Linked DNA regions of Lytechinus pictus. The protein of the gene in region 1 binds, or shares a complex with, the protein of each later gene. Links are inferred from orthologs where the notes say so. Each region holds a gene or a part of one and is shown on either strand. Other genes may lie near its edges. The genes, in order: eukaryotic translation initiation factor 4E-like and eukaryotic translation initiation factor 4E-binding protein 1-like.

Region 1 (7,261 bases):
AATAAACATTCTAGATCACCTGCCAAGTATAAAGGCAGCTTTCTCCATTATGTAGATGAATCCCACTACAGTGTCTGGTAATACAAAGTTTAGTTATTGACTGTATGGCTTATTTGTACGATTGATCATACACAATAATCGATGCAATCAATCGTAGTAATCAGACCCACCACCAATCGCTCAGCTTTGTGTCAAGGGCCACTGCAGAACACTTTGACTATGGCCGCCAAGATGGCCTCCTCTGATGCCCCTGTGAACATGTTTTAAGCCACATACATGTATACAAGGGAAATTCCAAATGCCGTTTCCATAGACGAGTGGTCTTTGTAATCATTAATGATTATGTACCACAAATAATTTATATTTTTAATTTGTTTTTATTATTTTTTATTGTCTCACCTGCAAAGCAGAGCGAGACTAAAGGCTCTGTTCCGACGTCGGTGTTGTCAACATTGAAAACTCAAACAAAATAAGTTTTTGAAATGTTATAACTTTAAATGTATGTAATCAAAGAAGAACAAAGGTACTTCCAGAGGATTAGAGCCATGTGTGGTGCTAGGTCAGCAGATGAATGATCTTTTCCTAGCCTGGCCATACTAGAAGCCCCCCCCCTCCCCAATTAAAATTGCCATTATTAAAAAAAGGAACCCAAAGTGAATTGGAGGTCCATGGATACTTACGACCAGAAATCTTCTACTGTATCAAATGCTGTGACGATTCTAAGGTTTTCTGTCCATGATTTGGCTTTGTCATTCTTGAAGAACCACATAGACCATCTGCTCTGTAAGGGATGTTTGATGAGACTTTCTGGATCTACGGCTTGTTGGTCGCTTTGGAGATCTTCTTCTTGTTGCTGCAGATGCTTTACACCCTTCCCATCTTTACTAATATCCTGTGAGAGTTACAAAGAGAGAGAGAGAGAGAGTGAGAATTATTGAAACCAACAACATCACATCAGCATTATCTATGTGATTAAAAATAAATTCCAGTTGTGGCAACGATTTCAAAATGAGTGCGTACAAAATTCAATAAGACGACTACCCAAGTGTCTTTTTCGTATACGTGCCACAGGATTCTGGGAGAAATTGTGCAATTACTGAGAAACAAGCAATAATAGAACAGAGAGATTATCTGAGTAGTCAATCTTCACTGTGATTAGCTTAGATTTCATGATTTCACAAAGTTCAGTGTAAGTAACTGTACTACTACATGTAAATTATCATCTATGATGATATAGTGATAATTCACCTTGGTTTAACAGACTTACTCATGAAATCAGTGATGAGACCTAGGCTATTTCCATGATATTTAATACTGTGATTGGTTTGCATCATTACTACATCATCACCATCACCATCACCAATACCACCATCATAATTATCATCATCCCTGCCACCTCATCATCATTATACTCATTTAAGATGCTTCCTAAAGCAAGTTTAAACCTCTGTTTATATCCAAGTTCTGTCTTCTCTTTAGATCATCATCATCATCATCATCATCAATAATCATCATCATCATCATCACCAAATATCCTTCTCCCCACTCTAATCCAGTCCTGAGCACTTTCAATCTTTAAACCTGCTTGAAGAAATGGAAAATGTTTAGATATCTGCTGTTATTGGTGTTTTTATCATCATCACACCACCATCATCATTTCATCATCACCATCATCACCATCATCATCATTATCATCACTATTATTTCATCATCATCATCACTGAAATCAATGCCATATTCTTCAAAATTCAAATCCTAATCATATTCAAATTGCAGATTTGCCACTAAATATTTGTTAAGTTTCTCCAATCTTATGAATTCATATTATATTACTTATCTCATGACATAAACTGCAATCTCTTAAATACTACTTTTTCTCCACATTACTCATCAGCGTGGTTTCCTAAATTTTAACAAAGTTTGAGTTACAAAAATTATATTTTGATATGCATATTAATTTTAAAATGTACTTGCATACGATGTATGATTTATATATGCCTCTCTTTCTTTTTTCATATTTTTCACTTTCCATTACATCCCTCTTTTACCTCCGGCTTTCACCATAGGCCTACTCTCCCTTCATCACATTCAACTTCTCTACCTGCCTATTCTGCCCCCCGCTAATAAATAGGCCTACCTTTTAAAATTCAAATTCAAGTTCAAATACTGCCTAGAGATCTACTTCCTATCTTTCATGAACCTGCTTACACAGAGATTGAGAATGGTAAGATATCTGACCGCGGTAGATAACTGCCATTATTGGCTTGTATCATCACCACCATCAATCCATCACCAATGATCACCATTATCAGGGACAGTATCACCACCATCATCATAATCATTTTTCTCATCGTCACCATCTTCATCTAGATAATAGATCTACTTTTCATCACCACTACACCAGCATCGTCTTCATCATGCTGCCAGCTTAGCCTTAATAATATTTTAACCTGCTTTTAAATTCATGTTACTTCATCACTTGCCAAAACTAAAAGTTAGAATAGAAATGACAGGATGAGGATTGGGATTCAGAACTGGAAGGAAACTGAACTCTCACTCAGTCTCAGTCTCACAACAGACTGCACAGACATGAGACAGAGCCACACTCAACTGACTGACAAACGTTAAATTTCCACTTTTTTGGTTTCAGGAAGCTCTAACGTTACTTCATTCTCTAAACCTGTCTCCTGTTTTTTTGGTAATGAAAGTTAGGTTTTGGGGGAGGACTGCAATAGCCACACAAAAACTTGGCTCAGCTCACATACCAACACAACACGAAATTCACTCCGACCTCTAGCAATTCAATGAACGTGGCTGCACAATGGCAATGCACATGTTCCACTCAACTCAGCATATCAGCGCAAGACAACCGGCGAAATTATCACCGCGAGCCTCCTTACTCTTTCGCTTTTATCTCATAAAATAATAAAAACATCGATCATTACGAGATGTGAACGTAGCATATGATATCAGGAAGCGATCATTAATCGTTAACTCAGTTAAATGGTACAGAAATGCAAGAAAATTACCTCGAGATTAACATGCTTTGCTATATTCACGGAAGCCATTTTCCTTATGTTCCAATTTTGGCCTTCTGTCGTAATGTCACGTGGTACAATCAGGTGGAAATAGAATTGATGAAGTGACCACCAAGTAGAACATAAACGTCACACAAATTTGTCTTGGGGGTCGTGCCTCGAAGGAGGAGGAGTGCAAAAGAAAAAACAAACTAAGGGGGGGGGGGGATAATCTGTCAGATCTGCTGTATTAAAAAAAAAAAACACACAATGAATCGACTGTAAGTAGAATATTGCGCATATGCACATCTCATGCAAATGACAAAGACATTATCGACTTTTCAGTGGTTGTTTATTTGAAGAGGTAGTCCTGTCACTTCTAAGCTTTATTCTTATATAAATCAACATAAATATATAATCTCTTAAGCCTTATTTGAATAATGCGAGCGCGAAGCGCGAGCTATGTTTTATTTCATGTATTTTGTCCTAAAATTTAAACATTCTGGGCAATGTTTGTGATCCTAAATGAGGTGTGTATCCAACTAAATAATTACTGTGAGCGCGAAGCGCGAGCAGAAATTTGTAATGTACGTTTTGATCCGATCAAAAAAGGATTTATTAACGGCTGCTCGTTAGCCAAGAAGACGTTACATATATTTCAACAATCAAATAATGCAAGTGCGAAGCGCGAGCTGAAAATTTTGACATGCCTACCTGAAGTATGGAATTCTACGAGCACTTTTTGTATTCGTGAAAAGGATAAGTATATAACTAAACAATTGATGCGAGCGCGAAGCGCGAGCGGAAAAAATCAAAATTTACACTTAAAAGTGGGACACTCGATCTATTCATGTTTTGTAAATCATGAAAAAGATGAGTAATTGGAAATGTTCCTACATTAATAATGCGAGCGGAAACATTTTGATATTGCATATGATCTGAAACTGGATAATGATTTAAATAGAGAGAGCAAGCTGCGTACCTGAATAAGATATATGCGCGCGCGTGTCTCAGATTTCGACCTAGAATCTGGGCATTCTAAATACCTTTTTTTTTAATCATGAAAATCAATAAAGCGAGCGCGAAGGGCGAGCTTGATATATCGATCTGAAAAGGGGTCAATTTAAGCTCTTGATTTCAAGCATATTGTAGGAAAATTGAGAGGCAGACATGGATCACACTTAAAAAAGAGCTGATATGTTTCATTACTATTACCCTGTAGTAGGTCCATGCTATTACTTTGGCTTTTGACATATAACCGGGACATTTTAAAGGACAAGTCAACCACAACAAAAAGTTGATTTGAATAAATAGAGAAAAATCCAACAAGCATTACACTGAAAATTTCATCAAAATCGGATGTAAAATAAGAAAGTTATGACATTTTAAAGTTTCGCTTAATTTCACAAAACAGTTATAATTATGCACATCCTGGCTGGTATGCTAATGAGGAGACTATGACATCATCCACTCACTATTTCTTTTGTATTTTGTTATATGAAATATTCTAATTTTCTCCTCATTGTCAAGTGATACAACGATTAATTCCTCCCTGAACAATACATGTGGAATTAGCATTGTTTAATACTATATGGTTCAGTCAAGTTTGTCCTTATTTTCAAATCTGTAAAAAATGAAATATTAATTCAAACAATAAAAAACAAAAGAAATAGCGAGTGATGGACATTATCGACTGAGTCACCTAGTTGTGCATATGACTGTTTTGTGAAAAATAAGCGAAACTTAAAAAAGTCGTATAACTGGGCGTTGTTGCGTGCGCCTGTAATCCAAGCTATGTGGGGAAGTTACAAATTGATGCAGAGGTTCGAGGTGATCGAGCCCCGGTCACGTCTTTCGGATGGTGACGTTAAAGGTCGGTCCCAGACGTAAATAATCATATCTGATTGATACACGTCTGACAAAACTCAAATACACACACTTTATTTTACATCCGATTTTGATGAAATTTTCAGTGTTATGCTTTATGATTTGACCTTTAAGAACATATGTCATCATATAGAATGATGACTATCTTCCTATTTCTCTTCCTAAGCGCGAGATGATTTGATTATTAAATTAATATCTTATTTATTAATCTATAAAAAGACTAATGCGAGCCCGAAATCTATAATGGCCTGAAAACTGGACATCTAAAGCACTTTTTGTAATTATTAATAAGATATGAGTTAATATATTTTCAACAATCAATGCAAACGCAAATCGCGAGCCGAAATTTTTGATAAACTGTCATGAAATGGTTTGTTATATAATTAATATTGAGATATACATAACCCACCAATCAAAATTCGAGCGTGCAGCGCTAACTGATACGTTTTGACAATCTGACCTGAATAGGGATATTTTGAGAACTTTATGGAATACAGGAAAATAATAGGTACCTGACAAATCGAGTGCGCAGAGCAGAGCAGAAAATGTTAATATTCAGGCCATACAATATATATTTTTTTACAGAGCACTATTTAAAAATCAATTTGTAAATCAAACAAAATAATGAAAGTTCGATTTCTGAGCTGAAATATGTTTTGTATATAAATCACCTAAAAGGCAATGCGAGCGTGAAGCGCGAGCGAAACTTTTATATAGTGTCACGAAAGATTTTTTTTATTATAATTTTCCAAGTCTTCCCCTCATCTTATTCTTTAACTCGTCTTCCTTCTTTTATGTTTCTCCTTTCTTTTCCCTTCTCTTTTTTTAAATATTATTTCCCAATTTTTTTCCTTTTTATGCTCCGCCAATAGGGGGGGGGGGGGGCATTGGCGGCGGAAGCCAAAAATTTTAGGGGGGGACTACAACAATTTTTTGACAACCAAAAAAAAAAAAGGTTATCAACAAAAAATTTAGGGGGGATCGTCCCCCCCCCCCTGGATCCGCTTATGACACCACACAACACAAATAGCGCATATAGAAAAGACGGATGCCGCACCTTAGAAAAGGGGATGCTTCCCCCTCGGCCTCTGGCTCACAAGTGACATATATTATCCTTAAAAGGAAACCAAATATAGCATTTGTTTGTTTCTTCTTTTCTTTGTTTGGTTTGGCTGGCAAAAATGCAGTCAAGATATTTTGCCACTGCTTTTTTATATATAGTGGTTTTTTTTCCTTTGAAACTTGAAGAATGGCTTCTTTTCATTTAGGTTATTTCATTTTCTTTATTTTTCCTTCACTTTTTCTGTGCTATTTTTTTTCTTATTTCCAATTCCTTTCCTTTCCTTTCCCTCCATTCCCTTCCCTTCCCTTCCTTTCTTTTCCTTTCATTTCCTTCTTGTCTTGTCTTTCTTTTTTCTTTTCTTTTCTTCCTTCTTTTTTCTGATCGCTATTTCTTCCTTTTCTCACTTTACCTCTTCTTTTGTATTTTCCCCCTGCTTTCTGCTTTTGTTTTGATTTTAAGTTTTTTTTTGGTCCTGTAATTTTTTCTGCTGCAATATCACAACAGAGAAAACAAAACCGAGTCGATTTGGGGCCTGAGTGAAAAGAAGTGAAAAGTACAGGGGGGGGGGGGTCAGCAATTCCCTCCAAGATGACTGCCGTACTCTCTTTTGTGGAGTTTTTATTATTATTATTATTATTTTTACCTATCAATTATTTTGTTTATTATTATTATACAGTAAAACGTTATCATGATACATTTAAATTATCAAAAGGAAATGATGTATTCTCACCCCAGATTCTCACTAATCATGAAAGAACACATAGGCTAGGGGCATGTTGCATAACATTTTCGCCATAAAAAAACCTCTGGCAAATGAACAAAAATTCTGGCAAAAACTTCCAGATTTGTTTTCTTTTATGCAACATGTCACTATGTAACAAACGACTTGGTGAAAGAATAAACTCTGTTGTAGTGCGTGGCCTCATAGTTCATTGCTGAGGGACGGTAGCAGAAGACCACTCGTGCTTGTATTGTAATCCTCTCTAAAAAATATTAATTTTTACTGATATTCGGGTGACATCTATACGCTCAAGATGGCAGACGGAAGCGAACAAAAGTCTTTACCAATTTACACTGTTGATGCCTTTGCAAGTGCTCCATTTACGGGGAATTCTGCTGCGGTGTGTCCTATTTCAAGCGCCGAAGAGGTACGGTATTTCGCGCGGAAACCCAGGGCCAGCTGAAGGCACCCTTGTGGTCTCAGGGTACGGTGGTCTCACTCTGAGTCGGAGAGCGAGCGCGAGGTGCATACCGGGTACTGCATACTGAGGCCTGCACGGTAATTGGACAAAAG
Region 2 (7,904 bases), about 20 Mb from region 1:
TAAATATAACTCAGGTAGTATATTGTTTAATGTCCTAATGAAAGAAAAATATAGTTTGAAGTAAAACTTTAAAAAAAAAAAATTTAAGCTATTTTAGGTATAAGAGTACATAGAAGAGTAGTTCTTGCCTTACATCACTATGACATCACATATGCGGCCAATTTGAAGTCTCCATGTGTACAGTGATTAATAATTTTCACTTTTAAAAATTCATAACTTTCTTATAGTTTGTACGATATTGTTCAAACTTTTAGCTACAACTTGTCTGAGTTTTCTTCTGCCTCTAAAAACAAGATTTTATTTGGGTAGGATTCCCCCCCCCCCCGGATTCCCCTTTATCTATTTTTTTTTAATACATGTATATACATACTAACCTGTAATATCATTGTGACTCAAATCTAATATTCTGAGAGAGGACAATTCATAGAAAGTCTCTGGCAAGGTGGAGAGCTGGTTATGAGATGCATTCAATGTTTCTAACATAGTCATCTCCTTGATCTCATCTGGAATCTTCTCAACTTTGTTATCTGAAATATTAAAAGCTTCATGAAGAGAAAATACAATGAAATAGGATAGTGCATGCACTAACACCTAAAAAATTCACAATTCAATGCATACCAATGCCTTACATACAGGCGCGGATCCAGGGGGGGGGGGGGCTGAAGGGGCGCTAGCACCCCATAGGATTTTTTTTTTAAGAAAAAAAAGAGAGATGAATTGACCTTATATAGGGGAAAACCTTTTTTTTTTGCTTGTTAATTTTTGGGCGGACAAATTATTGACCTTAAGTTAAATCTAGGGGAAAACCTTTTTTTTTTATTGTCAAATTTCAACTGGGTAAAATGTGCCACCCTTTTTTAAAAATTATGGATCCTGTAGCACCACTTAAAATTTCAACTCTGGATCCACGCCTGACATGTGTATGGAATTGTTCTCTCTGGACATGATGTGACATGTTATGTTTTTGTTTTTTTTACATATGGCTGATTCATTGTTCTTTTTTTCAGCATGACCCAGGATGGTTTAAACCATGGACCAATAAACTATTTACAAGACCTCATCACCATCACCTATGCACCGACCATTTGATGATCATAACATTGTCATTATCAAAGTGAATGGGCAGTTCCAAACTAATTTTCCTTTTTTTAATTAAGGATATATTTCAGGCTAGGCAAGCATTTGCATCACAGAATCGCTCTGTTACAATGTTTATGAGCACTTGGATTTCTGTACTTCTGAACTGCCTGGCATGCTTTCAATCTCTTCAATCAATACCTTTCACATCAATGCAAACTAAAATTGTATATTTATGAATTATTAGTGGAAGTCCTACGCTTCTTTGCAAATTTACCACAAAAAACCTATAAATATCTACTATACAATTAACAAAACACCAATACAGCACTAAATAAGGGAAAATTAAGTGAAATATCAAAATAAAAGCTGCTAGTGTTGTTACAAATTGCATTGTCATATATCACTTATCCTTAAATCTTTGGTGCATGGCCCCCTGTTCAATATAATGATTTTAAATAACAATGACATTAATGAATTATAATAATGATGATGAATGATAATAATAACAATTATAATAATAATGATAATACATAATAATGATGATGATAATATTTATAATGATAATAATAAAATAATATGAATTACAATTTTTATAACAATAATGATAATAATGATAAAATTATCAGTAATAATGAAGAAGAGTGATTATTCATGATAATGATGATAACGACAAGAAAAAAAAATAATAATAATGAAAATATATCAGGGAAATATGCTTTAAAAAAATTCTTACCTGTAACACTTGGAAATTTCATTGGGAGTTTCTTTGACATTATAGTGAGTGCATTATGTGAGAGGTCAATGGATGATAATTGTGTTTTCCTCATTAGATGGTAAACTGCTTGCGGAACCGACTCCAGTAGACAGCTTGATAAATCTGTTGAGTAAAAAGAAAAGAAAAGAAAGAAAGAAAAAAAACATTACGATACTTGAATGGTCAATGATGCAAATAAATAGGCCCTACCATCAGTGGCGTAACAGGCGGGGGGGCAAGCTGCCCCCCCTGGCGGAGCTCACCGGGAAAATACAAAAAAACGGGGAGAAAAAAAAAAAAAAGGGGAGGGAAGGGAAAGGGAAAGGAAAGAAAAAAGGGGAAAGGGAAAGGAAAAGGGAAAAGAAAACTAAGAAAAAACATAAAAAAGGGAAAACGGAAAGATAACGGGAAAAGGAAGGAAAAAAGAAAAAGTGAGAAAGAACAATTCGCCCCGATATAAAAATACATTAGCATGATTAGTAAGACAGGGAAATAAATTAAAGATGACAAAAAGGCAAACAAAAGCGGGAAATAAAGGCAGAATGGAATTAGCCAAAATCTTAATTGGAAAATAAAGAATAGGGACAAGATAACGTACACTACCGGGCTGCCGAGGATTGAGATAACGAGCGGGAAGAAAATTGATGGTATAGCATAATGTCGTATGAAAGTTTATCATAAACTTGCTAAATCTCCAAAGGCTCTGTCCAAGAGTCAAGACCCCGTGCAGTGGGGGCTCTTCATCTGTAACCTTTAATGGGTTCTATAACGGGCCCCTATATGGACCCTTCCTGCATTAAGCTTTATGTTGAAGCACTGGCGTACCGGGGGGGGGGGGGAGTTCCACAGCCAAGGGGAAATATAAAAAAATAAAGGAGGCAGCGAAATGGGATGAATGAAAAAAAATATATGACATGATATTTGCTATAATGATGTAAAAATCTATCACATAATTAGAATTTCATTTTAACAGGCCATTTTTTTTCTGGCTCGCTTCGCTCGCTGGCGACTTTTTACAAATTTTCCCACATTTGCTATGGTGTGCCCCTCACAATATTTGGATGATTACGATACACAACTGTATTGAATTTATGTGTTGTGTTAAAGCTATATAAATATACACGCAATTTGATTAAAATAAGTGGCCATCTGTAAGGTTTAAAATAGCTTTGATATCAAGAGGTTACGGGGCTCTGCCCTGGACCCCACCCATAAAGCACTGTTATATGGATGAGTTTGGACCATGGCCCCAAAAAGTTCTACAACCAAACAAAAAAAAATGAGGAAAGAAAGGAAAGTGTATTATATTTTTTTGAATATCACGTTAAAATCTATCTTCATGTTAGATTCTCATGAAAAGGTGATTTCTTTATCTCGCTCGCTTCGCTCGCTCGGGACCTATATTAAGCTACTTCTTGCCAGAAGCGCCATACTCGGCCCCCCTCGAGCATATACTCATATAGAGCTTCGCCCTGATGCTCACAATCATAACAAAAATCCTGTTCACCGTGGCGTACAAAAAAGAGATAAAAAAGAAGAGGAGGGTGAAATATAATATCATCTTTTTAACATTATGTCAAAATCTATCACAAAATTGGATTTTTGCAATAAAAATGTCAACATTTTTTGCTCGCTTGCTTCGCTTTTATATATATATTTGCCCGATACGCCATATCGCCCCCTCAAAATTTTTGCCTCATGAAGCCATTGCCTGTTCCATGTATGACCGGGAAATTTTTGGCTCTTGCCCCCCCTGGCCACCGACCCCTGTTACGCCGCTGCCTACCATTATATGCCAACACCTACAATGTTCCTTGTTTTGTTTTTTTAAGATTGAGAGAGTGCATATATTATAGCTCTTATTTATTTATTTCACTACATTTACATGTACAAAATACTGCAATTAAAAATTACAAACTACTGTGCAAGACATATTAATAAACTTATAGGCCCTCAATCCTCATGTCTTTACAATTATAAGTAAGATAAGAACTTAATCATGAATATAAATCAAGATCCTCTTTTATTTTGATTATTAATCCATCTGATGTTTTGGTTCTTGAATCTTCAGGTAGGCCTAACTGTACTGGTAAATGAGGAAAAATAGGGGCATCAATAAAACAATAAATGGACGTGTCTAGCTAGCTGCCACGCCCATCTCGGCACTTAAGAGAGGGAACGTCCGGACAGAGTCCAGGCTAGGCCAGCGCCCCCGCCGCCCTGGCCTGATGAACACGGCCTCGCCTTCGGGAGGCCGAGGCGAACCGATATATAGTCAACAGTTCGCTGAATTGAAGGAGACTAGCCGTTTCATTTTCATGTATTTTCCCCTACAACGTTAACCCGAATATTCAATTTCAATAGAACGAAAATATCACCTAAGTTTCTATCTTCTTGCGCCTTTTCACATCTTAATACGACTCTTGTCACTGCTTCTGCTGCCATTTTGGTGAAGATTGCAGTTTCAGTCCGTCCTGATAATTCATCTAAAATAGTCTGAACTTTCAACTATCGCCTTGAAAGGTCATAGCGTTGTGTGCGTGCTTGCTGATATCACGTGGTTTTGTTTACATCATCTTGACATGCTATCGACAAATGTCGTCGACCCATTGGCACAAATCCAAAGCGTAAATTCCCATTTATCTCCATAAAAATCCTTTGAAATTAGCAGATATTTATTCTAATTACATAAATACAGAATTTGTATTACATTTCCTCTCAAAACCCTGATTTTTTAAACACATAAACTAAATTGTTGAAAAAATACATTGTTAATTTCCACAAGACAATTTTTAGTTGATAACTTCAACCTACCCAAATGCACTTGCCAATCTAGTAAGAATATAACATATTCCAAATATTAATTTAAAAATATCAATTTTATTAAGTTTTTTTACTTTTAAAAATTATTTGCATTCAATTTTATTTTTATTTTTTTCAAAATATTTCAAATATGTACATATGAGAAAATCGCAATTCTGTATCACTCACAAAATTGACAAAACTGTTACCGTACCTCCTTGCTGTATCGTCCGATGCGGATTTCCCCTAAATCCGTCATCACAATATTTACCTTCAAAAGAACCCGAAGAACCGTCCATTCCTTTGCAACTTTAGCTGCCCCGCAATCTTCTAAAATTCAAGCAAAATGTCAGCCCCTGCAGCAAGTCGTCAACTCAGTGCTGGTCGGGATATTCCAGCGAAAAGAGTAGCCGTCGACGACCCATCGCAGCTTCCACAAGATTACAGCACAACGCCAGGAGGCACATTGTTTTCAACGACCCCGGGAGGTGCGTACCGTACCGTACACACACAGGAGTACAGCCTACAGGCCTGGCTTCGTCTTCGACCCTCCCGATCCCAGGCCAGTACTAAGTCTAAGCCTTTAGCCCGGGACTAAGCCATAGTTAGCTAACGTCCGCATTTACTTATTTAGGGCCGATTTGATCCAGGAATTTTACACAATGTCTGCAATTATTGAATTAATAATAGCTAAAAAAAAAAAAAAATCAAAAATCAAAAATGGACTATGGAGTCAGATTAGGCCCTATAGCCTATAGGCTATGGCTATGTAATTATTGTAATAAGTTATTGCACTCACATCGATTCTATTTCTATTTAAATCTAATTAAAAATAAAATATACCCACCGTTTCAAATTCAAGGCTCAGCTCTGTGATGAAAATACAATGTCAAAAATATTAGTAAGATATCAAGGAGTCCTCAAGGCTAGGTTTATCCTGAAAAAAAATGATAAATAATAGATCAGCATTAATCATGTTCGGGCTAATCGCTTTAGTTTGATGAGTAAATGTCCAAACAGGTACTATACCAATGCGCATGAGCAGGAATCGCAATTGCTTGTGGGAGTAACTTTAGAACATGTAGAATCCAGTGTCATAAGTGATTATGAGAACAACCTACCTAGAACCCTCTATACTAACTGAAGTTAGAACGAGGCATCACGCATGTATCACATCTGTGCAGTGATAGATTCATGACATTGGATTAAGCCTGCTTGTGTACTAATGCTTGCATACAGAGGGGAAAATGAGGATGCTGAGATGGGGAATTCCCTTTTTTTTTCACTCTGCTGAGCAACACAACACAAGCTTCCTTTATCCTCTTGTAATACAAATCTTGAAGCTGAGATATTTCATATTGACCGAGAAATCAATATGGTTTGCCATACAACATGTATTACAATTACAGTCCTGGTGAGTTTTTCATAAAGCTGTTTCGAAGTTACAAACAACTGGTGATCCTTTCTTGTGGTAAATGGTAGACATCAAATTTTCATTGGTGTTGAGTTCCTAAGAAAGGGTTACCAGTCGTTCGTAAATTTGCTTGTTATATGAAAATGCCCACCTGAAACTTGAGAGTCTGGTTACTTTAGTCTTGTGCATCTCCACCCTTCTTTTTTTCCCTAGGAACACGCATCATCTACGATCGTCACTTTTTGTTGAATATGAGGAATTCTCCACTGAGCCAGACTCCTCCTAAGAACTTGCCTTCAATTCCAGGAGTGACCTGTCCAGAAGTGACCAGTGACAAACCTAATGGTGAAAGCAAGGCTCCAAAGAGTAAAACAGGTACACACTATACATTTCAATATTTTCAGGCAAGGCCACTTTCATAACATCTGAAGGTATGTTTCTGCATTACAGCTCAAATGGAAAAAAAAAATTCTAAAAAGGCACAATAAATCTCTGAGGCTAATGAGAGGGCCGCTAAGGCCAATGAAAACGGCATCAACCGCTAGTGTTGGGTAATATGTCTAAATTCTATATCATCGAAATTATGTGATATTGAAAAATATTATTTGATAATGATTTTATGAATATGTTGATATATCACAGTAACACGATATGCCCAAACTATTATTATGAAAAGATAATCACTAGTGATTGACCGCATGCTGCTCTGTATTGCTTTAAACCAACTCAGTTTAGTTGACCAGTGCCCAAATGCCCTCTTTTCAAGGACAAGCACCAATGGAAGTCTTCTTTCATTTCCCCCTTCCCTGCTCTTGCGGAATCACTACTCTTAATGGACATATAATGAATTTTCAGACTCGGCGATATATTGTGTTATCAGCGAAATTTTTCTGGCAATAATCTATTCACATTTAGATCAAATATCGACCAGCACTATCAACTACCATGGCTTCTAATGGTCTTGGGTAGTCTTGGGTTTAATTAATAATTTATTAACAGCAGGGAAGTTGTATACATGGGAGGGGGGTATGTGCCCACTTCCCTTTTTTAACCAAAAAGTTGGTGTCTCCACTGTCTTAAGTCGCTACCTTATAATTTTTTTTATATTCTTTATGTTGTAAGAAAAAAAATCCTGGATTTGTGATTGTCAACCAGACACCTAGTCAAACAAAAACTTACAGAACTTCATGAATTCACAGGCCTTTGGATTAAGTCTATATTAGTAGTTTGAACACAGATGTTTCAAGAATAAATAGCACTTGATGAAAATTTATTATGCAATGTGACAACTTTTTTTTGAAGATTTCATTTTTTGAATTGTAACAAAATTGTCATGTTTAGCCGGAATGAAATATAGGCATGCACTTGTTATGATTCACACATGTTTCATTTCTCTCTCTCTCTCCCTCTCTCTCTCTGTCTTATTCTCTTAACTAGACACTGCTGATGATCAGTTTCAAATGGACATCTGAGACGGAGGACCAACATACAGATGACAACTGTCTAAGAAGGCTAGTTAAGACAAAATAAGAAAAGATGTATACTGCGGGTAAAGAAGATAAATGATCCTGAATTGTTTATTTCACCATCGCAGTTCTGTTTGTTTTGTTTACTTAAGTTCCTGATGGGGACAAATCTGAATTTATTCTCAATATTATGGTATCAATCATGTCCTTTCATGTAAAATCAAAACCTTATCATAAATATGGGTATTTTTTCCAAACATATTCTCCAAAGATAAGCTAGATTGAGAAAAAAAAACTAAGGTTCTATTAAAATCTCCTGAATAAAGATGTTGTTATTCAAACAAACAAGGGGCAAGATGCTTAGAAGTGTAGCATGAATATTAATTAT

The links.
Region 2: the proteins of eukaryotic translation initiation factor 4E-like (region 1) and eukaryotic translation initiation factor 4E-binding protein 1-like are in contact, whole or in part, in a crystal structure (PDB 4UE8), measured with the Drosophila melanogaster proteins. The link is inferred for Lytechinus pictus from reciprocal best matches to the Drosophila melanogaster genes eIF4E1 and Thor. Residues at the interface, in NP_001261626.1 of Drosophila melanogaster: Lys80, His81, Pro82, Leu83, Met84, Tyr91, Ile107, Thr108, Val113, Glu114, Trp117, Ser118, Leu119, Tyr120, Asn121, His122, Ile123, Lys124, Pro125, Tyr135, Leu174, Asp175, Leu178, Cys179, Ile181, Gly182, Glu183, Phe185, Asp186, Ser188; in NP_001285588.1 of Drosophila melanogaster: Lys51, Leu52, Ile53, Tyr54, Arg56, Phe58, Met59, Lys60, Leu62, Arg63, Ser65, Pro66, Leu67, Ser68, Gln69, Thr70, Pro71, Pro72, Asn74, Val75, Pro76, Ser77, Cys78, Leu79, Leu80, Arg81, Thr83.

Annotation. Positions count from the first base shown.
Region 1 is NC_087262.1:23,051,294-23,058,554, forward strand, and holds the start of eukaryotic translation initiation factor 4E-like, read right to left. Parts: upstream 3,104-7,261; 5' UTR 3,069-3,103; coding exon 3,030-3,068; intron 893-3,029; coding exon 681-892; intron 1-680. Other genes in the region: phenazine biosynthesis-like domain-containing protein, read left to right, coding at 7,002-7,115. UniProt on the Drosophila melanogaster protein: Recognizes and binds the 7-methylguanosine (m7G)-containing mRNA cap during an early step in the initiation of protein synthesis and facilitates ribosome binding by inducing the unwinding of the mRNAs secondary structures.
Region 2 is NC_087262.1:3,356,395-3,364,298, reverse strand, and holds the start of eukaryotic translation initiation factor 4E-binding protein 1-like, read left to right. Parts: upstream 1-4,843; 5' UTR 4,844-4,982; coding exon 4,983-5,124; intron 5,125-6,263; coding exon 6,264-6,425; intron 6,426-7,487; coding exon 7,488-7,522; 3' UTR 7,523-7,904. Other genes in the region: leucine-rich repeat protein SHOC-2-like, read right to left, coding at 375-542, 1,814-1,957, 4,213-4,279. UniProt on the Drosophila melanogaster protein: Repressor of translation initiation that regulates eIF4E1 activity by preventing its assembly into the eIF4F complex. Hypophosphorylated form competes with eIF4G1 and strongly binds to eIF4E1, leading to repress translation.